Linked DNA regions of Saccharomyces cerevisiae S288C. The gene in region 1 interacts genetically with each later gene. Each region holds a gene or a part of one and is shown in the gene's direction. Other genes may lie near its edges.

The links.
Region 2: mutations in PYP1 (region 1) and PFK2 together harm fitness more than expected from each alone (negative genetic interaction), as found in Saccharomyces cerevisiae (2 studies listed by BioGRID).
Region 3: mutations in PYP1 (region 1) and YOR1 together harm fitness more than expected from each alone (negative genetic interaction), as found in Saccharomyces cerevisiae (2 studies listed by BioGRID).
Region 4: mutations in PYP1 (region 1) and ECM2 together harm fitness more than expected from each alone (negative genetic interaction), as found in Saccharomyces cerevisiae (2 studies listed by BioGRID).

The regions. Positions count from the first base shown.
Region 1 is NC_001146.8:610,325-615,305, forward strand, and holds PYP1 (putative phosphoric monoester hydrolase), read left to right. Parts: upstream 1-3,310; coding exon 3,311-4,036; downstream 4,037-4,981. Other genes in the region: SPO1 (putative carboxylic ester hydrolase), read left to right, coding at 1-1,341; YNL011C (uncharacterized protein), read right to left, coding at 1,512-2,846; isocitrate dehydrogenase (NADP(+)) IDP3, read left to right, coding at 4,497-4,981. UniProt on the Saccharomyces cerevisiae protein: Hydrolyzes sugar alcohol (polyol) phosphates. Dephosphorylates a variety of substrates, including: sn-glycerol 1-phosphate (D-glycerol 3-phosphate), D-ribitol 5-phosphate, D-sorbitol 6-phosphate (D-glucitol 6-phosphate), and D-erythrose 4-phosphate.
Region 2 is NC_001145.3:670,043-676,429, reverse strand, and holds PFK2 (6-phosphofructokinase subunit beta), read left to right. Parts: upstream 1-1,663; coding exon 1,664-4,543; downstream 4,544-6,387. Other genes in the region: YMR206W (uncharacterized protein), read right to left, coding at 1-534; INP1 (Inp1p), read left to right, coding at 5,105-6,367. UniProt on the Saccharomyces cerevisiae protein: Catalyzes the phosphorylation of D-fructose 6-phosphate to fructose 1,6-bisphosphate by ATP, the first committing step of glycolysis.
Region 3 is NC_001139.9:1,050,270-1,058,792, forward strand, and holds YOR1 (ATP-binding cassette transporter YOR1), read left to right. Parts: upstream 1-2,554; coding exon 2,555-6,988; downstream 6,989-8,523. Other genes in the region: PXR1 (telomerase inhibitor), read right to left, coding at 641-1,456; BGL2 (glucan 1,3-beta-glucosidase), read right to left, coding at 7,514-8,455. UniProt on the Saccharomyces cerevisiae protein: Functions as a pleiotropic drug pump at the plasma membrane to clear toxic substances from the cytosol. Organic anion transporter involved in the detoxification of a wide range of toxic environmental organic anions that contain carboxyl groups.
Region 4 is NC_001134.8:366,814-372,185, reverse strand, and holds ECM2 (Pre-mRNA-splicing factor ECM2), read left to right. Parts: upstream 1-2,507; coding exon 2,508-3,602; downstream 3,603-5,372. Other genes in the region: TIP1 (putative lipase), read left to right, coding at 1-83; NRG2 (Nrg2p), read left to right, coding at 1,487-2,149; CNM1 (Cnm1p), read left to right, coding at 4,002-5,216. UniProt on the Saccharomyces cerevisiae protein: Involved in pre-mRNA splicing. Facilitates the cooperative formation of U2/U6 helix II in association with stem II in the spliceosome. Binds to RNA.

The DNA.
Region 1 (4,981 bases):
GGTTCTCTGATTACAAGCTCTTCAAATTTTTATGAACAAATAGAGGAGATCATGAATTCCATAGAAGAAATCCCAGAAGACTATATGATAACGAAGAGAAACTTGAATCCATTAGCAAGACTAAAAAAAATATTCTTTCCTAACAACACTTTCACTGGAACTGATGCGAAGATTGAAACCTTTAAAAAAGTGCTAGACTTTTACAAAAGTTTGCATTTGAAAATTAAGCCTAAAAAAATGGAGGGTTTCCAAATATCGTTCACCGATTATTGGGGTAAAGCAATCGTTCAAAGACTAAAAAAAAATTTCGATGACGATCCCAACCATTCCTTTTCGTTTTCGAAGCTTGTAAACTCGTCTAAAAAATTTAAGGAATGCAGTGTGCCGATCCCAATATTCGTTGCAAATTGCAAAAATGGACTTCTTTCAAACGTTATATTTGAATTTACGCCCTTTGAATTTGGATCTTGGGAAAATATCCTCAGACTTTTCGTCAAGTTGCCCTATTTGGGCTCAAAAATTGTTTCTGGAAAGGCCGAGAAGTGTATTAATAACTTTGATGATCTAGGTTTTATTACTGCGACGTCTTCTTCAATATTCAACAATGTGCTCATCTTCATCTGGAATTTGGCTTCTCAGTCCTCCAGAGAAGCAATGAAAGCTTTGAATATGGTTATGGGAATTTTTGGCCTAGGTAAAGAGGAAATATTTAGTATTTCGAAAGACTCCTCGAGATTAGAGACAGACTATGCCGTATATCAACCCAATCCCTTTTATCTTTATCCTGAAAAAGACAATGTCCTAACTAACAAAAATCATTTATACCTTGTAGACGGCGGAGAAGACGGCGAGAATATTCCACTCAGAACATTGGTGATTCCTGAAAGGGAACTAGATGTAATTTTTGTTCTGGATTCTAGTTCGGATATTGACAACTATCCAAACGGCTCCAAGTTAAAAAGGATATTCGAAAAATTAGATGAAGAGAACGTTCATTACCAATTTCCGAACAATGTAAAAACATTCACTCACCCCATTGTTATAGGATGCAATGCTACCAAAAGAACTGGACATGATTCATTTTTGCCAATTATAATTTATCATGCCAATGCGAATCATGGAAACGCATCTAATACGTCGACATTCAAAATAACTTACAATCAGTCTGAAGTTAGCAGTATGTTACCCACTGGAAGGGGAGTGTTTAGCAATGATTATGACCTTTATTATAAAAATTGCTTAGGCTGTATATTAACCAAAAGAACAATGGACAGGCTCCCAAGAAAAAAGAAATTTTCGCCATTTTGCTTACAATGCTTTAAAGACTACTGTTACTCATAAGAGAGTAGACTTTTTCTGTGAAATTTAATGAGTTTTTGTTCACCTTTTTTACTTTTCTTCTATGCCATATGGTTAAATAAAACATGGTTCAAACGCGATTCTTTTTTATTATCTATGTCTTTATTATGTAGTCTTCACTATAATAACCGTTAATGAGCGACATAGTTGCATCAGTTTTTAAGGCCAATTTGATTCAGAACCTTTTCAAGTTCTTCACTTTCCATCTTATCCGAAGACGCGATCTGGTGGCATCTAATACTATGCTTCTCGAATATCGTTTCATCAATTTCAATTTCACCATTTTTTAGGTAAACAATATCAGTAATAAAATCTTGCCATTCAAAGTCATCATTCTCTGAATGGACACCCTTAGATTGCCTATAGCCTGCTATTGCCCTACTCATAGAATCTATGATCATTTGAACGTAGTGTAAACCGTCTAAACCAAAAACCTCTCTATCATATTTATTATTTATGAGCAAAACTTTTTTCGTATTATTAGATTCCAAAATTACTTCAGCAAGATTACCAAGAATAAGGATTGGGAGTAAACTTGTCATTAAAGAACCGATAGAATAAACGACCATGTCAGCTTTTTTCACCTTGGAAATAGCTCTTGGATTTCCCATTGGTTTTATCTCTTCGCCATATGGGTTTATATACAATATCCTATGTACCGGAGCAGGTAGATTCTGTGATTCATCAAGCTTGTCAAAATGCAACTGGGAGTTTTTCAGTTCTGGAAGAATATAGATAGGATTGGCATACTCCTCTTCCGCTTCTTCTTCCTCATCGTCGAGGAGAATTTTCAAATGGTCGTCATAAGAGCCAAGTAAATGAATAAATTTAGCTGAATGTGCTATGCTATTATCTTTAGGAACAGATTTCGAGGGATGCGATATTTGTGATTGGCCAGTTATCATCTCACCATTCGTCAACAAAGCCGAGATATGATGTGTGTGATTGGTATTTATACATGGAATAACATGAACTAGAGGACTGCACCTTCCTATCCTCATCATTAGTTCAATAGATGCGTCTAGAGAACCTAAAAACAATCTAGCACCAGTTAAGAAAAAATTTCCAATGGATGCACTCTCAAACTGAAATGGATTCGAGTGTTTGATTTTTTTCAAGAGTTCTGCTTGCATATGGATAATAAAAGAACGACACATTTCCTTAACTTCTATCGAAATATTTTTCCATATGGGATGCGAACCTTCCACTATTTCATTCCATTCTTTCTTAGCTAATAACTTATCATTAGGTAGCCTATGGCCAAACAACTCGACAAGCTGTTCATCTTGAAGTAGTCTCACTATTCTAGATCTGATATCACCAATTGCTGGGCCACCAACTATTCGTAGAATTTCACTTGTGGACCCGCCATTATCTGATATTGGCAATATATACGTCAGCTCATGTCCTTTTAAGATAGAAATATTAGAAAAGCAAGGAGTCAATGAATTTGTGGCAGTCCCACCGGAGCACACAACGACGTTCATCTAGTAAACTATCTCACCACACTCTGCTATTTTGTCCCCTTATTACCTCGAGGGAACAAAAGATTCCGTTTCCTCTCTTTCATAGTCCGCCTAAATAGCTTAAGAAATAAACCCAAACATCACACATTAGCGTTCTTTAGGAAATACGAAACAGGTTAATACAACAGTAGTAACTTTCCACATAATATCTAAGCATTACACGCTGAAAAAAACTCTTTATTGGATATCAACAACCCAACACATTGTACGACATATTCTTTTATCGTTCTACTATGGTACCCTGTTCAAATCTCTTTTTCTAAAATGAGCGAAATTTTCGAAAATTATCGCATAATTTTTCATCATCTTAAATTAAAAAAATACAGTGTCCTCTATTGTTTATCTCAACAGAACGCACACATTCTTGAAACTTGCTCACATAACATAAGCTGGAGTGACATAGCATTTATATATATACAAGGGAAATGGTCAAAGCTGTTATTTTTACCGATTTCGACGGTACCGTTACTTTGGAAGATTCTAACGATTATCTGACCGATACTTTAGGTTTCGGTAAGGAAAAAAGATTAAAGGTCTTCGAAGGCGTGTTAGATGATACTAAGTCTTTTAGGCAAGGTTTCATGGAAATGCTGGAATCCATCCACACCCCTTTCCCTGAGTGTATCAAGATCTTAGAAAAGAAAATTCGATTGGATCCTGGTTTCAAGGATACATTCGAATGGGCTCAAGAAAATGATGTCCCTGTCATCGTTGTTTCCAGCGGAATGAAACCAATTATCAAGGTTTTATTGACCAGATTAGTTGGACAAGAGTCTATTCACAAAATTGACATTGTTTCCAATGAAGTGGAAATCGATGCACATGATCAATGGAAAATCATCTATAAGGATGAAAGTCCCTTCGGACATGACAAATCCAGAAGTATCGATGCTTATAAAAAGAAATTTGAATCTACCTTGAAAGCAGGTGAACAAAGACCCGTTTACTTTTACTGTGGTGACGGTGTTTCTGATCTAAGTGCTGCAAAAGAATGTGATTTGCTATTTGCCAAAAGAGGTAAAGATTTGGTCACTTATTGTAAAAAACAAAACGTCCCATTCCATGAATTCGATACCTTCAAAGACATCTTGGCTAGCATGAAACAAGTTCTGGCTGGTGAAAAGACAGTCGCTGAATTGATGGAAAATTAGTGCAAGACTCTTACGAAATATTAAAGTTTAATACCGTGTAACTGCCTCTTACATATGTATGCATATATACGTACGTACTATATTTTTCTTGTATATCTTTTTTATTGTCTGAGAGAAAGAACATCAAAAAATAAAGGAAGATCCTCCTCGGATTTAGCATGCTTAATGCCGAATCTTTAATACAAAACGAATGATATTTCAAGTATACTAATTAGAAATCAATCAAACATACCAAAAGGGACAGTAAAGAGAAAAGCAGGAGCTCTCTTTTAGGGGAAAAGTAAAATGTGATTAGTATTTCGTTGCGTGTACTAGTCAACTCTTCTTGTCATTCTTAAATTTACATTAATTACCCCAATTTTGCATCTTCGTATATAAGAGTGTTCCCCTTATAAGCTTTCTCCTGCACATACCTGCAGTAAACACAAGCAACACTTTAGAGATAGTTGTCCAAGTTAAAATGAGTAAAATTAAAGTTGTTCATCCCATCGTGGAAATGGACGGTGATGAGCAGACAAGAGTTATTTGGAAACTTATCAAAGAAAAATTGATATTGCCATATTTAGATGTGGATTTAAAATACTATGACCTTTCAATCCAAGAGCGTGATAGGACTAATGATCAAGTAACAAAGGATTCTTCTTATGCTACCCTAAAATATGGGGTTGCTGTCAAATGTGCCACTATAACACCCGATGAGGCAAGAATGAAAGAATTTAACCTTAAAGAAATGTGGAAATCTCCAAATGGAACAATCAGAAACATCCTAGGTGGAACTGTATTTAGAGAACCCATCATTATTCCAAAAATACCTCGTCTAGTCCCTCACTGGGAGAAACCTATAATTATAGGCCGTCATGCTTTTGGTGACCAATATAGGGCTACTGACATCAAGATTAAAAAAGCAGGCAAACTAAGGTTACAGTTTAGCTCAGATGACGGTAA
Region 2 (6,387 bases), on another chromosome or scaffold:
CTTGACTCTCTGGTCTGAATCCGCAGCGTACGAGGCGATCCTTTGAATGTCCTTCGTGGGCTGTACAAAGTTTTTTGTTGTTACCTTCTGTTGCTGCTGGCGGTGATGCAAGGAGGGAATATGAGAATCGCTGAACCTTCTTGCTATGAACTGATGGTTGTTGTTGCTAGGCGACAGGTTATGTACACACTGATAAAGGTCGTAAATGTTCATAGAATTAGACAGCCTCTGTTGTCTTTTAGACATGAAGTCCCCGAACAGGTCTGTATTACAAGCCCCCTCGTTATGTAACTTCTCTCTTGGTGAGCACGATTCCGAAAATTCAGAGTCGTTATCGTTGATATTGAGCACCGTTTTAATGAACTCATGTTTCTTATTAGGAGTGGGAGATCTGTTACTCTCCAGAAAATAGTCGTCATGATGGCCACCACTTCCGGCACCGCTTCTCATATCCTCCCCCTCTTCCTCCTGAATAGCCTTGTAATGGATGGTTAGATGGGCAGATATGGGTCTATTGCTACTGCTACTCAGCATGGTTATATTCTGTTGTCTTCTTTACTTTAAGGCGAAAGGTCAGACAATATGCATATATATATATAGTCTTCGAATGCACGGCAAAAATGATATGAAGAGCTATGCTACAGTATATACTTCTTTGTTATTGCAATCAACGTGAGCCTTAACCAATGAGGAAGTAAGAAGGAAATAAGAAGTAAGACATAAAATAAAACTACAAAAAAGAAAGAAGATCCGCAAAAACCCAAGAACAGCATTGTAAGTACTACCATCTATATAGATCGAATATCCTACTAATATATAGTAACTGCCACACGAAAAACTGTGGGTGTAAAGACTATTCATAGCCATTCTCTGCTGCTTTGTTGCATCGTATCATCGCCCGTTTCAGCCAGTCCCGCATACCCCCTTTGCAACGTTAACGTTACCGCTAGCGTTTACCATCTCCACGCTAAAAGGAAAACGAAGATTAAGATAAAGTTGGGTAAAATCCGGGGTAAGAGGCAAGGGGGTAGAGAAAAAAAAACCGGAGTCATTATATACGATACCGTCCAGGGTAAGACAGTGATTTCTAGCTTCCACTTTTTTCAATTTCTTTTTTTCGTTCCAAATGGCGTCCACCCGTACATCCGGAATCTGACGGCACAAGAGCCGATTAGTGGAAGCCACGGTTACGTGATTGCGGTTTTTTTTTCCTACGTATAACGCTATGACGGTAGTTGAATGTTAAAAACGAAAACAGAGATATTGAATTGATCAATTTGATCAGTACGTATGTAATCTTTTGTTTGCCATGTTAAATCGGCCTTTTTTTCCATCCGGTCTTTATCTACCATTCATTTATTACATCGCAATGAAGTCTCTCGCTTCATGTTGTTGTTTTTTTTCCTGCCTTTTTTTTATCCGCTCTCATTCTTATTTTTCCTACTTGCATTTTATAAAACAATAATATTTTTTTCTTCTTTTTGTCCTTTATTTATTACTTCCTTGATTAAAAGCTTCTTATCTTCGGTTTCATAAAGAAGAAAATTCCTTTTTTTTTTTTTTTTTCCTTCTTCTTGCTTAAAAGCCTTTCTTATACCTCATTTGAACAATAGAACTAGATTTAGAGACTAGTTTAGCATTGGCCAAGAACTAACCATACGCAATGACTGTTACTACTCCTTTTGTGAATGGTACTTCTTATTGTACCGTCACTGCATATTCCGTTCAATCTTATAAAGCTGCCATAGATTTTTACACCAAGTTTTTGTCATTAGAAAACCGCTCTTCTCCAGATGAAAACTCCACTTTATTGTCTAACGATTCCATCTCTTTGAAGATCCTTCTACGTCCTGATGAAAAAATCAATAAAAATGTTGAGGCTCATTTGAAGGAATTGAACAGTATTACCAAGACTCAAGACTGGAGATCACATGCCACCCAATCCTTGGTATTTAACACTTCCGACATCTTGGCAGTCAAGGACACTCTAAATGCTATGAACGCTCCTCTTCAAGGCTACCCAACAGAACTATTTCCAATGCAGTTGTACACTTTGGACCCATTAGGTAACGTTGTTGGTGTTACTTCTACTAAGAACGCAGTTTCAACCAAGCCAACTCCACCACCAGCACCAGAAGCTTCTGCTGAGTCTGGTCTTTCCTCTAAAGTTCACTCTTACACTGATTTGGCTTACCGTATGAAAACCACCGACACCTATCCATCTCTGCCAAAGCCATTGAACAGGCCTCAAAAGGCAATTGCCGTCATGACTTCCGGTGGTGATGCTCCAGGTATGAACTCTAACGTTAGAGCCATCGTGCGTTCCGCTATCTTCAAAGGTTGTCGTGCCTTTGTTGTCATGGAAGGTTATGAAGGTTTGGTTCGTGGTGGTCCAGAATACATCAAGGAATTCCACTGGGAAGACGTCCGTGGTTGGTCTGCTGAAGGTGGTACCAACATTGGTACTGCCCGTTGTATGGAATTCAAGAAGCGCGAAGGTAGATTATTGGGTGCCCAACATTTGATTGAGGCCGGTGTCGATGCTTTGATCGTTTGTGGTGGTGACGGTTCTTTGACTGGTGCTGATCTGTTTAGATCAGAATGGCCTTCTTTGATCGAGGAATTGTTGAAAACAAACAGAATTTCCAACGAACAATACGAAAGAATGAAGCATTTGAATATTTGCGGTACTGTCGGTTCTATTGATAACGATATGTCCACCACGGATGCTACTATTGGTGCTTACTCTGCCTTGGACAGAATCTGTAAGGCCATCGATTACGTTGAAGCCACTGCCAACTCTCACTCAAGAGCTTTCGTTGTTGAAGTTATGGGTAGAAACTGTGGTTGGTTAGCTTTATTAGCTGGTATCGCCACTTCCGCTGACTATATCTTTATTCCAGAGAAGCCAGCCACTTCCAGCGAATGGCAAGATCAAATGTGTGACATTGTCTCCAAGCACAGATCAAGGGGTAAGAGAACCACCATTGTTGTTGTTGCAGAAGGTGCTATCGCTGCTGACTTGACCCCAATTTCTCCAAGCGACGTCCACAAAGTTCTAGTTGACAGATTAGGTTTGGATACAAGAATTACTACCTTAGGTCACGTTCAAAGAGGTGGTACTGCTGTTGCTTACGACCGTATCTTGGCTACTTTACAAGGTCTTGAGGCCGTTAATGCCGTTTTGGAATCCACTCCAGACACCCCATCACCATTGATTGCTGTTAACGAAAACAAAATTGTTCGTAAACCATTAATGGAATCCGTCAAGTTGACCAAAGCAGTTGCAGAAGCCATTCAAGCTAAGGATTTCAAGAGAGCTATGTCTTTAAGAGACACTGAGTTCATTGAACATTTAAACAATTTCATGGCTATCAACTCTGCTGACCACAACGAACCAAAGCTACCAAAGGACAAGAGACTGAAGATTGCCATTGTTAATGTCGGTGCTCCAGCTGGTGGTATCAACTCTGCCGTCTACTCGATGGCTACTTACTGTATGTCCCAAGGTCACAGACCATACGCTATCTACAATGGTTGGTCTGGTTTGGCAAGACATGAAAGTGTTCGTTCTTTGAACTGGAAGGATATGTTGGGTTGGCAATCCCGTGGTGGTTCTGAAATCGGTACTAACAGAGTCACTCCAGAAGAAGCAGATCTAGGTATGATTGCTTACTATTTCCAAAAGTACGAATTTGATGGTTTGATCATCGTTGGTGGTTTCGAAGCTTTTGAATCTTTACATCAATTAGAGAGAGCAAGAGAAAGTTATCCAGCTTTCAGAATCCCAATGGTCTTGATACCAGCTACTTTGTCTAACAATGTTCCAGGTACTGAATACTCTTTGGGTTCTGATACCGCTTTGAATGCTCTAATGGAATACTGTGATGTTGTTAAACAATCCGCTTCTTCAACCAGAGGTAGAGCCTTCGTTGTCGATTGTCAAGGTGGTAACTCAGGCTATTTGGCCACTTACGCTTCTTTGGCTGTTGGTGCTCAAGTCTCTTATGTCCCAGAAGAAGGTATTTCTTTGGAGCAATTGTCCGAGGATATTGAATACTTAGCTCAATCTTTTGAAAAGGCAGAAGGTAGAGGTAGATTTGGTAAATTGATTTTGAAGAGTACAAACGCTTCTAAGGCTTTATCAGCCACTAAATTGGCTGAAGTTATTACTGCTGAAGCCGATGGCAGATTTGACGCTAAGCCAGCTTATCCAGGTCATGTACAACAAGGTGGTTTGCCATCTCCAATTGATAGAACAAGAGCCACTAGAATGGCCATTAAAGCTGTCGGCTTCATCAAAGACAACCAAGCTGCCATTGCTGAAGCTCGTGCTGCCGAAGAAAACTTCAACGCTGATGACAAGACCATTTCTGACACTGCTGCTGTCGTTGGTGTTAAGGGTTCACATGTCGTTTACAACTCCATTAGACAATTGTATGACTATGAAACTGAAGTTTCCATGAGAATGCCAAAGGTCATTCACTGGCAAGCTACCAGACTCATTGCTGACCATTTGGTTGGAAGAAAGAGAGTTGATTAAAAGAAAATGACCTTTTATTACACTTTCTATTATTAATGTCAATTAATGTTAACCCATGTTTTTCTTTTGTGTCTATAATTCTTTTTTTTTATCTCTAAGCTTTTGAACAATGAATTTTTTGTTCCTTTCTTTTAATAATACAAGTACTACCCCATGAAACCAATATTATCATGCATTTTTATGAATGTCAAGAATAAAGATACTGTTATTTTTTGTGTCTTATTTTTTTTCTCTTTGTTTATTTAAACGTTTTCTAAAATTAAAACTTATGTATACTGGAATATGTGATATAGACGATTTAAAAGATAATTCCAATAAACGTCCCTCGGATCTCATATTTATAAAGGTACCCTTTTAATACAATATTTATACATGTGCGTTAAATACTTTGTTCTCTTATTATCTATGAACTTATCACGAAGAACGGAGATGTAAACAAAAAGAGTGAATGAACTATGAACTTTAAATTACCTTATTACGGAGGAAGTATTCCTTCACCTATGAAGGATACAAGGTCTACATTTTTCGTCTGATAACTCTCAGGAAATTAAACAAAGTGGTATGGTTTTATCAAGGGGAGAAACAAAGAAAAATAGCGTGAGATTAACGGCAAAACAAGAAAAGAAACCTCAATCTACGTTTCAAACTTTAAAACAGTCACTTAAACTTAGCAACAATAAAAAGTTGAAACAGGATTCGACCCAACACTCAAACGATACAAATAAATCTGTTAAAGCCAAAAAAAATGGCACGTCCTCGAAGAAAACCGGAACACAAAGGAAAAGAATATCAACTCAGAGATTTTCATTGTTTACCTATGGCAATGTTCAGGTTATGAATTCATTCGTTCCCATTCATAATGATATTCCGAATAGCAGTTGCATTCGTAGAAATTCCCAAGTATCCGCAAATAATGTCACTGAAAGTAGTGGAGTATTCTTCAATGATACGCAAAGTCAAGACAGTCAAAACACTATTAAGTTAAAACCTACATCTTTAATGGCAAAAGGACCTATTGAAATATATCAGATATGTACAGGGTTTGATAAGTTAAAGGAAAATATAGCGCCCTTTCAAAAATCTAGTAAAGCTAGTAGTCATGATGGGCATGTAGTAAACTATTTATCGATAGGACGACATGGTGATATTGTGCATCCAGTACTACCCAAACTACAAATAACAAGGCTAAATGGCGCAGGTTTCAAATACTTTATTAGCTTTTATAATCCGGAACGGTACTGGGAAATCGAATTTCTACCTTTGATTAGTCAATCCCAATCAGAGTTGGAAAATAGTGTGAAAGCTTTTGAAAACGTCATTAGCAAAATTTGCCAATTTTCGCATATTAATGAAGGAGCTACTATTGGGAATAATGAGTCTTTGAGCGATAAATTCAAACTGCCGCCTACTTCGGACATAGAGCCCCCCAATACTGAAATAATTAATAATGATGATGATAACGATGATGATGATGATAATTATGATGATGACGACCTTAATTACTTGCTGGATGAAGAATACGAACAAGGATGTACAGATAATAGCTTCTCCGTGATATCGAACACTTGCTCTAATCTAAATGCAAGCTTTCTCTATCCGAGCGACCCTACCGATGCCGTGTCAATCTCCATAAATGAAGCTTTCAAAAATGCTATCAGACGAACCGCTCCTGTACTGAATATTCCAATAGCAGCCCCAAGTATTCATTCGAAACAGCAAAACAAAAGATATAGTTCATACCCTTTTATCGACTCTCCCCCGTATCTGCAGGACAGGCATAGAAGATTTCAGAGGAGATCCATATCTGGTCTTGGCGACCTTTGAATGAAGTTCAAAGCATAACT
Region 3 (8,523 bases), on another chromosome or scaffold:
CGCGTGAAAAGGAATCATGTGCCTATTTTCCTCATTTGGAGAGGCTAAACGAAAAGGGAAAAGAGGTGCGTTGCGCGTGTTTCTAGGGAGAAGATCCTATTGCAGCAGGGTGTCGCGCGAAAAGCGGTGCCTACAAATTACAAAACCCTCTGGGAAATGACCGTGCAGGGTCGTTTGTGGATGCATCTCGATTAGGCCGGGCTAGGCATCTTGATTCTTTCCCAAAATGGAGTTAACGAGCTCGATTGGGCGTTAATTGATGGATTTGGTTACACTGATACGAATTGAGCCCGTTTATCATTCATGCAGCGGCTTTATGGAGGGTGTGGAAGACGTTAGCGATGTTATGCTTTCCACTTGCTCTACTATCTTCCATCAAACCCACCTAATAAAGCTGAAGGTTTTGCAGGGGCAGAAGTCGTGGCGCAATAAGTTCAATAAATACTTATAATATTACTTACTAGTTTAATCATGTATGTAAAAACTCGTTGCGGTATGCTGTCGTACTGGCACACATTTTTTTTTTTCATTTTTATTTGCTTTTTTCTTTGGCACCGGGGAAGAATTTTTCCCCACTCTATATATCTTGCTGCGTGTGCAGACTGGCCAGCTGCTCACACAATGAAACGCAATGGAATGTTTAGTCGTTTGTTATCATAAAGATCTCATTCAGTGCCTTGGAGTCCATCAACGCGGCCCTCTTTTGTTTTATCCATTTGGAGCGCACCGATAGTCTTGTGTTTACCGCATCGGGGATATTGGATGCAGATTCACTAGATTTTAATTTTGACGTCTTTTTCGTTTCTTTGGTCTTTTCCGCCCTTTTTTCCTTCTTCAATCTCTTCTCTTCCTTTTTATGTTTCTTATGCTCCTTTTTGTCCTTCTTGTCTTTTTTCTTGTCTTTCTTATGCTTTTTGTGCTTCTTGTGCTTCTTTTTATCACTGTCTTTATCCTCTTTGTCGTCATCATCTTCATCTTCGCTATCGTCTCCTTCCCTCTTTCGTTTCTTCGCGTTGGAGTAATTTCTTAACTTGTGAGTCTTTGGATCCCACGTGCTTGCTAAAACTTCACCCTTCACAAAATGGATACCCCATTTTCCGTCAATAATCTTCTGCTTTCTCTGCGTGTCCAATTCCTCTGATATTTTGCTTTCCTTTCCGTTCAGCCTACCAAGAATTCGCTGGAAGACATCCAACCCTGCGCATTCACCATTATCAAACTCGTCTTTTTTGTCTTTACGTTTTAATTTAGCACCGAGCCCAACGTTGTCGTCCTTAATTGACACTTTGATATGCGAAGTGTTCGAATTCATGGGGGATAACCCCAGACCCATACCGGGTTTCCATCCAAACTTTTCTAGAAATTGGTGCCCGAATCTCGAGGTGTCGTTACTCCATGCCGTATTTCTGGGGTCTAAACCAAACCGCTGTTTGGTTCTTGTAGCTGCCAAACCCATTCTGCTTCTTTGTTTAATGGTGTAAGCTGCCTATATGTTACTATTGAGTACTCATCTCATCGCTTCTTTCAGAACAAAATTTTTCATATTTTTTTTTTTTCCTTTTCTTTTTTTTTTTTTCTTTGACTGTTACCCGGTTGTTTATATTTGTAGGAAAACAACAACGACAGAGAAAATATCCTTGCAGTGGCGGCTAATTTGTTAGTTGACTGATTGATCACCTTCACTTATTAAAGTAAAATCAGCATACAAGAGATCAGAAGGGAGAAAGAGAGTGGGCAAGGCTATAGTACTTTGAAGAAAGCATCTTTGAACCGACCAGTTCTCTTCACAAGCAAAATCTATATGACTAACCGCAAGGGGCAAAGGGTTGTGAGAGGGCCCGTCTTTCTCCCGCTATAGCCGTCACTGGTATCCCTCCTGGCTGCACAAATCCGATAGAAAGGGGAAGAAGGAAGTTTAGTGCCACCTTATAGCACGCAGTTACTGTTTACGCTAAGGAGAGGCATACTCAATTTTTATTAGTCGCCTTCTTTAGTTGCTGCGTTTTTATCCACGGTTCTCTACTAAATGCTTGCGATAAGCGCTTCTATTTTCCTCCCCACCGCGAGGCGGAAATGGCACATTTTTTTTCTTTTGCTTCTGTGCTTTTGTTGTAATTTTTGGCATGTGCTATTGTATGAAGATAACGCGTGGTTCCGTGGAAATAGCCGGAAATTTTGCCGGGAATATGACGGACATGATTTAACACCCGTGGAAATGAAAAAAGCCAAGGTAAGAAAGTGGCAATATTTTTCCTACAAATAGATCTGCTGTCCCTTAAATGATTACCATACATATATATATTTATTACACATCTGTCAGAGGTAGCTAGCGAAGGTGTCACTGAAATATTTTTTGTTCCAGTTAGTATAAATACGGAGGTAGAACAGCTCTCCGCGTGTATATCTTTTTTTGCGCTATACAAGAACAGGAAGAACGCATTTCCATACCTTTTTCTCCTTACAGGTGCCCTCTGAGTAGTGTCACGAACGAGGAAAAAGATTAATATTACTGTTTTTATATTCAAAAAGAGTAAAGCCGTTGCTATATACGAATATGACGATTACCGTGGGGGATGCAGTTTCGGAGACGGAGCTGGAAAACAAAAGTCAAAACGTGGTACTATCTCCCAAGGCATCTGCTTCTTCAGACATAAGCACAGATGTTGATAAGGACACATCGTCTTCTTGGGATGACAAATCTTTGCTGCCTACAGGTGAATATATTGTGGACAGAAATAAGCCCCAAACCTACTTGAATAGCGATGATATCGAAAAAGTGACAGAATCTGATATTTTCCCTCAGAAACGTCTGTTTTCATTCTTGCACTCTAAGAAAATTCCAGAAGTACCACAAACCGATGACGAGAGGAAGATATATCCTCTGTTCCATACAAATATTATCTCTAACATGTTTTTTTGGTGGGTTCTACCCATCCTGCGAGTTGGTTATAAGAGAACGATACAGCCGAACGATCTCTTCAAAATGGATCCGAGGATGTCTATAGAGACCCTTTATGACGACTTTGAAAAAAACATGATTTACTATTTTGAGAAGACGAGGAAAAAATACCGTAAAAGACATCCAGAAGCGACAGAAGAAGAGGTTATGGAAAATGCCAAACTACCTAAACATACAGTTCTGAGAGCTTTATTATTCACTTTTAAGAAACAGTACTTCATGTCGATAGTGTTTGCAATTCTCGCTAATTGTACATCCGGTTTTAACCCCATGATTACCAAGAGGCTAATTGAGTTTGTCGAAGAAAAGGCTATTTTTCATAGCATGCATGTTAACAAAGGTATTGGTTACGCTATTGGTGCATGTTTGATGATGTTCGTTAACGGGTTGACGTTCAACCATTTCTTTCATACATCCCAACTGACTGGTGTGCAAGCTAAGTCTATTCTTACTAAAGCTGCCATGAAGAAAATGTTTAATGCATCTAATTATGCGAGACATTGTTTTCCTAACGGTAAAGTGACTTCTTTTGTAACAACAGATCTCGCTAGAATTGAATTTGCCTTATCTTTTCAGCCGTTTTTGGCTGGGTTCCCTGCAATTTTGGCTATTTGCATTGTTTTATTGATCGTTAACCTTGGACCCATTGCCTTAGTTGGGATTGGTATTTTTTTCGGTGGGTTTTTCATATCCTTATTTGCATTTAAGTTAATTCTGGGCTTTAGAATTGCTGCGAACATCTTCACTGATGCTAGAGTTACCATGATGAGAGAAGTGCTGAATAATATAAAAATGATTAAATATTATACGTGGGAGGATGCGTATGAAAAAAATATTCAAGATATTAGGACCAAAGAGATTTCTAAAGTTAGAAAAATGCAACTATCAAGAAATTTCTTGATTGCTATGGCCATGTCTTTGCCTAGTATTGCTTCATTGGTCACTTTCCTTGCAATGTACAAAGTTAATAAAGGAGGCAGGCAACCTGGTAATATTTTTGCCTCTTTATCTTTATTTCAGGTCTTGAGTTTGCAAATGTTTTTCTTACCTATTGCTATTGGTACTGGAATTGACATGATCATTGGATTGGGCCGTTTGCAAAGCTTATTGGAGGCTCCAGAAGATGATCCAAATCAGATGATTGAAATGAAGCCTTCTCCTGGCTTTGATCCAAAATTGGCTTTAAAAATGACACATTGCTCATTTGAGTGGGAAGATTATGAATTAAACGACGCTATTGAAGAAGCAAAAGGAGAAGCTAAAGATGAAGGTAAAAAGAACAAAAAAAAGCGTAAGGATACATGGGGTAAGCCATCTGCAAGTACTAATAAGGCGAAAAGATTGGACAATATGTTGAAAGACAGAGACGGCCCGGAAGATTTAGAAAAAACTTCGTTTAGGGGTTTCAAGGACTTGAACTTCGATATTAAAAAGGGCGAATTTATTATGATTACGGGACCTATTGGTACTGGTAAATCTTCATTATTGAATGCGATGGCAGGATCAATGAGAAAAACTGATGGTAAGGTTGAAGTCAACGGGGACTTATTAATGTGTGGTTATCCATGGATTCAAAATGCATCTGTAAGAGATAACATCATATTCGGTTCACCATTCAATAAAGAAAAGTATGATGAAGTAGTTCGTGTTTGCTCTTTGAAAGCTGATCTGGATATTTTACCGGCAGGCGATATGACCGAAATTGGGGAACGTGGTATTACTTTATCTGGTGGTCAAAAGGCACGTATCAATTTAGCCAGGTCTGTTTATAAGAAGAAGGATATTTATCTATTCGACGATGTCCTAAGTGCTGTCGATTCTCGTGTTGGTAAACACATCATGGATGAATGTCTAACCGGAATGCTTGCTAATAAAACCAGAATTTTAGCAACGCATCAATTGTCACTGATTGAGAGAGCTTCTAGAGTCATCGTTTTAGGTACTGATGGCCAAGTCGATATTGGTACTGTTGATGAGCTAAAAGCTCGTAATCAAACTTTGATAAATCTTTTACAATTCTCTTCTCAAAATTCGGAGAAAGAGGATGAAGAACAGGAAGCGGTTGTTGCCGGTGAATTGGGACAACTAAAATATGAATCAGAGGTAAAGGAATTGACTGAACTGAAGAAAAAGGCTACAGAAATGTCACAAACTGCAAATAGTGGTAAAATTGTAGCGGATGGTCATACTAGTAGTAAAGAAGAAAGAGCAGTCAATAGTATCAGTCTGAAAATATACCGTGAATACATTAAAGCTGCAGTAGGTAAGTGGGGTTTTATCGCACTACCGTTGTATGCAATTTTAGTCGTTGGAACCACATTCTGCTCACTTTTTTCTTCCGTTTGGTTATCTTACTGGACTGAGAATAAATTCAAAAACAGACCACCCAGTTTTTATATGGGTCTTTACTCCTTCTTTGTGTTTGCTGCTTTCATATTCATGAATGGCCAGTTCACCATACTTTGCGCAATGGGTATTATGGCATCGAAATGGTTAAATTTGAGGGCTGTGAAAAGAATTTTACACACTCCAATGTCATACATAGATACCACACCTTTGGGACGTATTCTGAACAGATTCACAAAAGATACAGATAGCTTAGATAATGAGTTAACCGAAAGTTTACGGTTGATGACATCTCAATTTGCTAATATTGTAGGTGTTTGCGTCATGTGTATTGTTTACTTGCCGTGGTTTGCTATCGCAATTCCGTTTCTTTTGGTCATCTTTGTTCTGATTGCTGATCATTATCAGAGTTCTGGTAGAGAAATTAAAAGACTTGAAGCTGTGCAACGGTCTTTTGTTTACAATAATTTAAATGAAGTTTTGGGTGGGATGGATACAATCAAAGCATACCGAAGTCAGGAACGATTTTTGGCGAAATCAGATTTTTTGATCAACAAGATGAATGAGGCGGGATACCTTGTAGTTGTCCTGCAAAGATGGGTAGGTATTTTCCTTGATATGGTTGCTATCGCATTTGCACTAATTATTACGTTATTGTGTGTTACGAGAGCCTTTCCTATTTCCGCGGCTTCAGTTGGTGTTTTGTTGACTTATGTATTACAATTGCCTGGTCTATTAAATACCATTTTAAGGGCAATGACTCAAACAGAGAATGACATGAATAGTGCCGAAAGATTGGTAACATATGCAACTGAACTACCACTAGAGGCATCCTATAGAAAGCCCGAAATGACACCTCCAGAGTCATGGCCCTCAATGGGCGAAATAATTTTTGAAAATGTTGATTTTGCCTATAGACCTGGTTTACCTATAGTTTTAAAAAATCTTAACTTGAATATCAAGAGTGGGGAAAAAATTGGTATCTGTGGTCGTACAGGTGCTGGTAAGTCCACTATTATGAGTGCCCTTTACAGGTTGAATGAATTGACCGCAGGTAAAATTTTAATTGACAATGTTGATATAAGTCAGCTGGGACTTTTCGATTTAAGAAGAAAATTAGCCATCATTCCACAAGATCCAGTATTATTTAGGGGTACGATTCGCAAGAACTTAGATCCATTTAATGAGCGTACAGATGACGAATTATGGGATGCATTGGTGAGAGGTGGTGCTATCGCCAAGGATGACTTGCCGGAAGTGAAATTGCAAAAACCTGATGAAAATGGTACTCATGGTAAAATGCATAAGTTCCATTTAGATCAAGCAGTGGAAGAAGAGGGCTCCAATTTCTCCTTAGGTGAGAGACAACTATTAGCATTAACAAGGGCATTGGTCCGCCAATCAAAAATATTGATTTTGGATGAGGCTACATCCTCAGTGGACTACGAAACGGATGGCAAAATCCAAACACGTATTGTTGAGGAATTTGGAGATTGTACAATTTTGTGTATTGCTCACAGACTGAAGACCATTGTAAATTATGATCGTATTCTTGTTTTAGAGAAGGGTGAAGTCGCAGAATTCGATACACCATGGACGTTGTTTAGTCAAGAAGATAGTATTTTCAGAAGCATGTGTTCTAGATCTGGTATTGTGGAAAATGATTTCGAGAACAGAAGTTAATTTATATTATTTGTTGCATGATTTTTCTCTTTTATTTATTTATATGTTGCCGATGGTACAAATTAGTACTAGAAAAGAAAACCCACTACTATGACTTGCAGAAAAAGTTATGTGTGCCATAGATAGATATAATTGCATACCCACATTGTATACTCAAAATTCCGAAAAGAACATTTCATTTTTTATGAGGCAAACTGGACAACGCCTTCGGTCCTTTTTCATTCTAGAAATATATATTTATACATCATTTTCAGAAGATATTCAAAGAACTTATTGGGATGTCTGTTTACTGAATAAAGTATACACAAAATACGAATTTAAAATGGAAGGCATAAAATAGAAAACTTAGAAGTGAAAATCCTAAAACCGAAGGATATTTCAAATACGTAAAAGAAGTGAAAGATAAAATAAAGCCTAAATAAGGAAGAAAAGAAGGGATAACATTTTTTTTTGTTACTTTTTGCTTATTCCTCACCTAAACAGAAGGAAAAAGCCATTCTTGTTTAAAGAGTATTTTTAAAGCGTTCATGAAAAGTCACAGTCCAAGGAGTATTTCAAATTGTCACTTGAAGTGAAAACACCCCAGTGCTTCTCGACATCAGAGGTACCAGAGGTGTTTGGCTTCCAATCTTCATCAAAGGCTTCAAAAACAATAACGTTAACACCCCAAGCTCTCATGGAACAGATACCTTCTTTCCAGAATTGTTTGGCGTTGTCAACAGATGGGTAAGAACTTTCAAAGTTGGTACCATCAGTTGGCCAACCGGTCTCACCAACCCAGAAGGTAATATCGGTAGAACCTTTAGTAGATTGGATAACCTGTAGAGCTTGCATAATATCATCAAAGAATGAGTAAGAGGCATTTTGCATGGTTTGACCTTGCCAGTAGGAGAACGCGTTAGCCATAACAAAATCGGAAGCTTCGATAACGGCAGAATTGTAACCAGCAACCAAAACATTCCAGGAATCGACAGTACCGACTTGCTTACCAGAGTATGACTTTCCGTCAGAATCGGAAATGTCAGCAACGACACTACGGACGTCATTAATTTTGTCTGATAATTGAGAGGCAGTCAAATCGTTACGGTATAAGGCTTCAGAACCAACCAAGAAACCAGCAACAGTGGATTCTTTAATTTTTGGCAAATAGGTTTGCAAAGCAGCCTTTTCAGCAGCGTAATGACTGTCGTCTGTTGGCCAAACACCGACAAAGATAGTAAATCCCTCAGCTTCAGCAGCAGGACCTAAGTTTTGCAAAGTGTTACAATCTGAGGCAGCGTAAACTTTGACGGTGGAAGTGTAGCTCTTCAAAGCTTGTAATTCGGTTTCATAGTCGGAAGTGGACTTACAAGTACCATCGTTGTTCTTGACACCCAAGTTAAAGGCTAGTTCACCAATAGCTGAAACTTGGGAGGCTGTGAAAAATAGCGCAGTAGCTGCAGTAGCGAGTGTAGTAGAGAAACGCATCTTTGACCGTTTTTCTTTTTGGTTAGTTGTCTATCTCAATAAACTTATATTGAAAAAAACAAGAAGAA
Region 4 (5,372 bases), on another chromosome or scaffold:
CTTCCAATGCCGGTCAAAGAGTCAATGCAGGCGCTGCCTCTTTCGGTGCTGTTGTTGCAGGTGCAGCTGCTTTATTGTTATAAAAGGGAACCTTTTACAACAAATATTTGAAAAATTACCTCCATTATTATACCTTCTCTTTATGTAATTGTTAGTTCGAAAATTTTTTCTTCATTAATATAATCAACTTCTAAAACTTTCTAAAAACGTTCTCTTTTTCGAGATTAGTGCTTCTTCCCAATCCGTAAGAAATGTTTCCTTTCTTGACAATTGGCACCAGCTGGCTACTCGTTGCTCGAAAACTACTCTCTTTTATTTTTAATTTACGAACGATTATCTTTCGAAGGAACGACCAAACGAGCTAAATATGGGCATCGCCAACGTTAAAAAAATGGACCCTACCGAAGACGTTATTATGCCAAGGCGCAGCGAAGAGTCTTTCTCCTTGAGAAAAAATATGCATGAAACAAAATAGACAGGACCAGACCCTCTTCGGGAAAAAAAGTCAAGATTTAACACGTGGCTACACCGGCTGGCTTACAACCAACCAACATAAGATCAAACAACCCTCAAGTTTAGAAAATGCCTTAATAGCAACCTCTAAAACCATAGACTTCTCCATTTTCACGTGCTAAAAAAGTTCGGGTATGATGTCATACAAATCCTTTCAACAAAAGATGCTTCAAGATCAATGGCACTCGAGATCATAAATCCCTGCAGAGCAGCGGCTCTGCATATAGAATAACAAACAAATCGTATTTTTCCCGAAGCCAAGAAAAAAAGGAGACTATAACCTTTCAAGCCAGACGGAAAACTATCTGCCCAAGGACAAACTGGCATGGGCTGCTTCAATGTTCGGCTACCTTTTTTCTCTTTTAACGGGGTTTGGTATTTTTTTTCTTTACTTCATAAACGAATGTTAAACGACTGTGAAAAAGCCATCCCTGGATTATGCGAGAGTACTCTCAGGGCACCCGTCCGTTTAAAGACCCCAGGCCAAAATAAAAATTTCTTGAAGGAAAAAAATACACAGGGCCTTGAACTGAATACAAAGCCATCTTTTTTCTCGTTTGTCAGCACGTCCCAGAAAAACGCGCAGCCGTAGCTCTTGATAAGTGGCTTCTGCGTTTTGCAACGCTTTTCTGATCTCATGTTTTCTTATGCTGCGGGACATCATTGTCGTTGAGAAAAGTTTCAATTTCAAACGAACTGCCTACCGTTGCATTCTCCTTGGAGAAGGGCCTGAGTTTAGGGGAATCACGTCTGGCTATTACATGCTACATCGTGCAGTAGCTCCTACATCGCTAACAGGCAAATCCTACACCCTCTTTAAATCGTTTATCTTTTATATATTATCTGGCCTAAATTTTTACATATAAATATTTATCATATTATGACAGCTCAAATGAATTTCCGGCACCAAGTCATATGAGCACTCGCTACTGTTCGAAGAACAAAAAATATAAAGCTTCTACAAAATTTCCAGATGTCCATAGGTTACAAAGACAACTTGATGTCAACTATTCTAGCTAAAGATAGGAAATGTGAATTTCCCATCAATTTCGAATGTTCGCCCTCCCAGATAACTCTTATGCCTGAAATGTTCTCTTTTAACAATGAAAGGAAATACCAAACCCTGATACCCTTGATGAAAACATCACATCTAATTGATGATGACTTGAAAGATAAATTGAATAAGTGCGCTTTCGATTTTTTCTCCGGAAAACAAGCGAACAGAACGAGTGACGGGACTATTTCAAGATTAACAGCAAGTGGAAAAACGTCACCGATACTGCCATTGCAAAATATTAATATTGTAAAAGCAGAGAATACCGGTAACGGTAAATCAGATCCATATAGCTCAATTAAAATAAGCAAACCGACAAAAACCGTGATAAAATTGAAATCTACGAAAACCAATACAGCAGGACAGAGGACTCGTCATTTCTGTAAGATCTGCTCTACTGGGTTCACCACTTCTGGTCATCTTTCAAGACATAACAGAATCCATACAGGTGAAAAAAATCATATCTGTCCGCATGAGGGCTGTGGACAGAGGTTTAGTAGACATGATAACTGTAATCAGCATTATCGAACTCATGCAAACAAGAAGAAAAGAAACTGGAAGAGGAGGGAGGCTAGCAGTTGATGTGAGTGAGCTCAGCCAAAAACATTTAAATATTCAAATAACGTACAAATAAAAGACTGATAAATAGTAATAAAACTAAGCGGGTTAGTAATACTCACCAAGAACAATAGCAGGAACGATAGTCGGTTCTCTTTCGTAATTTTTTTAAGTCACAACCCGGAGGGACGTGAAGTTTCAAACCTTATTCATTCCGGGATTACCCTCTCCTGTGATGACGTTTAGGCAATAAGGACTAAAAAAAAAAAAAAGAAATGCTATGGCAAATTTTATTGATAGAAGTGGTAATGATGATGGAAGGGCTTTTGAGCAGGTGAATAGAAGGTAGCTAACGGAAAAGAGTTATTGCACCCTTAATATAATGAATGATGAAATTAATGAGCCACCGCCCAATATATGTGAGCAGTGCTTAGGTGATGAGGCTAATATACGAATGACTAAAATTCCACAAGGCTCTGAATGTAAGATTTGTACCTTACCGTTCACCTTATACCATTTTAAGACGTCTAAACGAAGCAATAATATCATTAAAACATTAATATGTGTACGGTGCGCCACTCAGAGAAACATTTGTCAATGCTGTATGCTTGATTCAAGATGGCACATCCCTATACAACTGCGGGATCATTTAATATCCCTTGTGAACGAGGAAAACGTTATGACGGAGGAAGCAAAAAACGACATGATGAAAAGGTTTCTGTCACTAAAAAACGTGAAATTAGGAGGAGCTCAGATTACGAGTGATCCGTCAGAAGCAGATAATATCGTTGATAAATTGAAAAATATACTTCTGCGAGCAACATCAGATGGCCCAAGTACTCCGTTAATAAAAAACACAACTGCATTGTATAAAAATGAAAAAGGTGCAAATGAGGTCAAAAACTTGGAAAAGTACGCGTCCGTGGACATTTCTCATATTTTGAAGAAACTACCCTTGAATGAATCGTTTTTAAAAAACCCCTCCACCAAATCATTTTTTCTGTATAATATTGATGCCTCGATCCCTGAATGGAAAATAACTGATACAGTTTCGCAATTATTGGGTATAAAGAAATGGAAGGATGGAAATTCATTGTCATTAATAGTCAACCACAAGGCGAAGTGTGGTGGCCTAAGATTTCAATCTAGTGAATTGGGGGAGCGGTTTGTCAGTAAAATAAGTGAGACACTTGTCACACCAAAGGGCCTAAAGAGAGGAGTTTTACTTATTGACCGTTTTAGAATCTTTATCATTCCGTGGTCGTCTGGCTTTTCAGCTGCGTCATTCGGAACCAACACTGCAGAAAATATAAAACTTAGTTTAAGTTTGAATAAGCTTATTCAGTTGGAGCTAGGGCTTTCTTTTCCTACAAAAAGCACAGATAACGCAAAGAATGACAAGAAAAAGACATCAAAAAAAGTTCATAAGGACAGATCAAAGAAATCGAAACCTCGCGCTAACAAGTTAACAATATAGATGAAACGTAAGAAAAATCATGGGTTGAAGAAACGAACTGTTTGATCAATTTCGACCATCCATCTACCTTGCAAGTAATAAACAAAAGCAGGTTGAGTGGGGAACTTTATCTAAGTTGATCAGTATATCTGACAAATTTATACGGAATGCTGCAGTTTGGATTAGCACGAACATTTTATCTGTACGGTTTGTCGCTTTTAGCTGCTCGGGCTCTTCCTCTCGGTTACCGAGATGATAACTCGGCCGAATTTTGTAAGTACAAATAAAAAGAAAGTGACACAATTCTAAAAGTATCACTATAATTTATTATTTTGAGAAAGATAAGGTTCCATAGGTACATGATATATTGACTGATTTCTGATAGCTCTTTTTTTTCCAATATCGATAAAAAACTAAAATATGGAGGAACTAGGTTTAAAAAGCACTTTTCCATATGAATATGGCTCAGACTTTACAATGATAAGAACGGAAATGTTAAATACTACGAAGAGCGAAACAACTATTTTATTTTCCAATATAAAGAGCATTTTGGCCATTATTTGGAAATACTCATTTACATTTTTAAGATCTTTTTCCGATTCCATCAAACTTATTATTGACGATGTTGTCACTATTGGCTCCCGAAATTTTGCAGAGAGATTACAGATTGAAGCGAAAAAAAACAATGACCAAGAAGATATCTGGGCATCCACAATAATTTTGGGTGTGATTATCGGGTATTTAATCTCTTCTATTAAGAGAAAGAACACTTTTCCAATAATGCCTACGAGCTCACCTAAAATAGATGATTGTAGGTTCAAGACTGGTGATACCATATCCATTGTAATAAACTTTAATGAAGACTGCCTCAATAATCGAAGTGACGTTACCGAAGAGAGAAATTATGAGGAATCCACAGTTTTACATTCAAAGGAGTCAGTTCTCAGCATTGGTAGGCAAAATATGGTAACTTTGAACCAAAGCGATGAAAATTTCACCTATGGCAATTTTGATGAGTACGACTTATTAACTAAAGATTATACAACAGAGGTCTTAACGCGATCACCTGGCTCGAATCCCGAGTTTAAAGCAGTGGTAAATAATACATTACTTGATAGCGCGAATGAAACGCCGTTTAAAGGTATTGAAAAAAGTATTAACGAAACAATGGTTAAAGTTCCTATGGGATGCGATGTATCTCTCTCCCATTATGGCAGACAATACGCGCCTGGAAATATTTCAATTATGAGAAGCTTCACTGCTCGAGATAATACTAAATCTGTGAGTAGAGAAATTCGTGATATCTGTAAATCGTTTTTGATTATAAAAAGCCAATTTGGTGACGAACTTTTCCTGACTATGTTCATGGAAAAACCAGTTTTCTTTGATAACAACATCCCAATTGAAATAACTGGAGCATACCGAGAAAAACGAGAGCGATTAGATGAAGTGATTCATAAGGATCTTATCCGCTATGATGAAGTTCAAAATTTGACAAGGATTCGCAATTTGCTCCGGGTTAAAAGTCAAAAGATTTGTTCCAGGAGACATAATAGTTCGGTTCCCACAAAAAAATTGTTAGTTAATGATAAAGGCGCAACTTCGATTCTACTGTGGTACTCTAACTATTCATAGATAAAGTTTATTTGATACATAATCCGGAAAATGTAAGATATGCCAACTGTTAACTAGAAAACATCTGTACTCTATATATCGGAAACAAAAACTTTACGGGTACAACCATGATGAATAAGCTCGAAATTTTTGCCTTCCATATGAGTCCCATTTTGG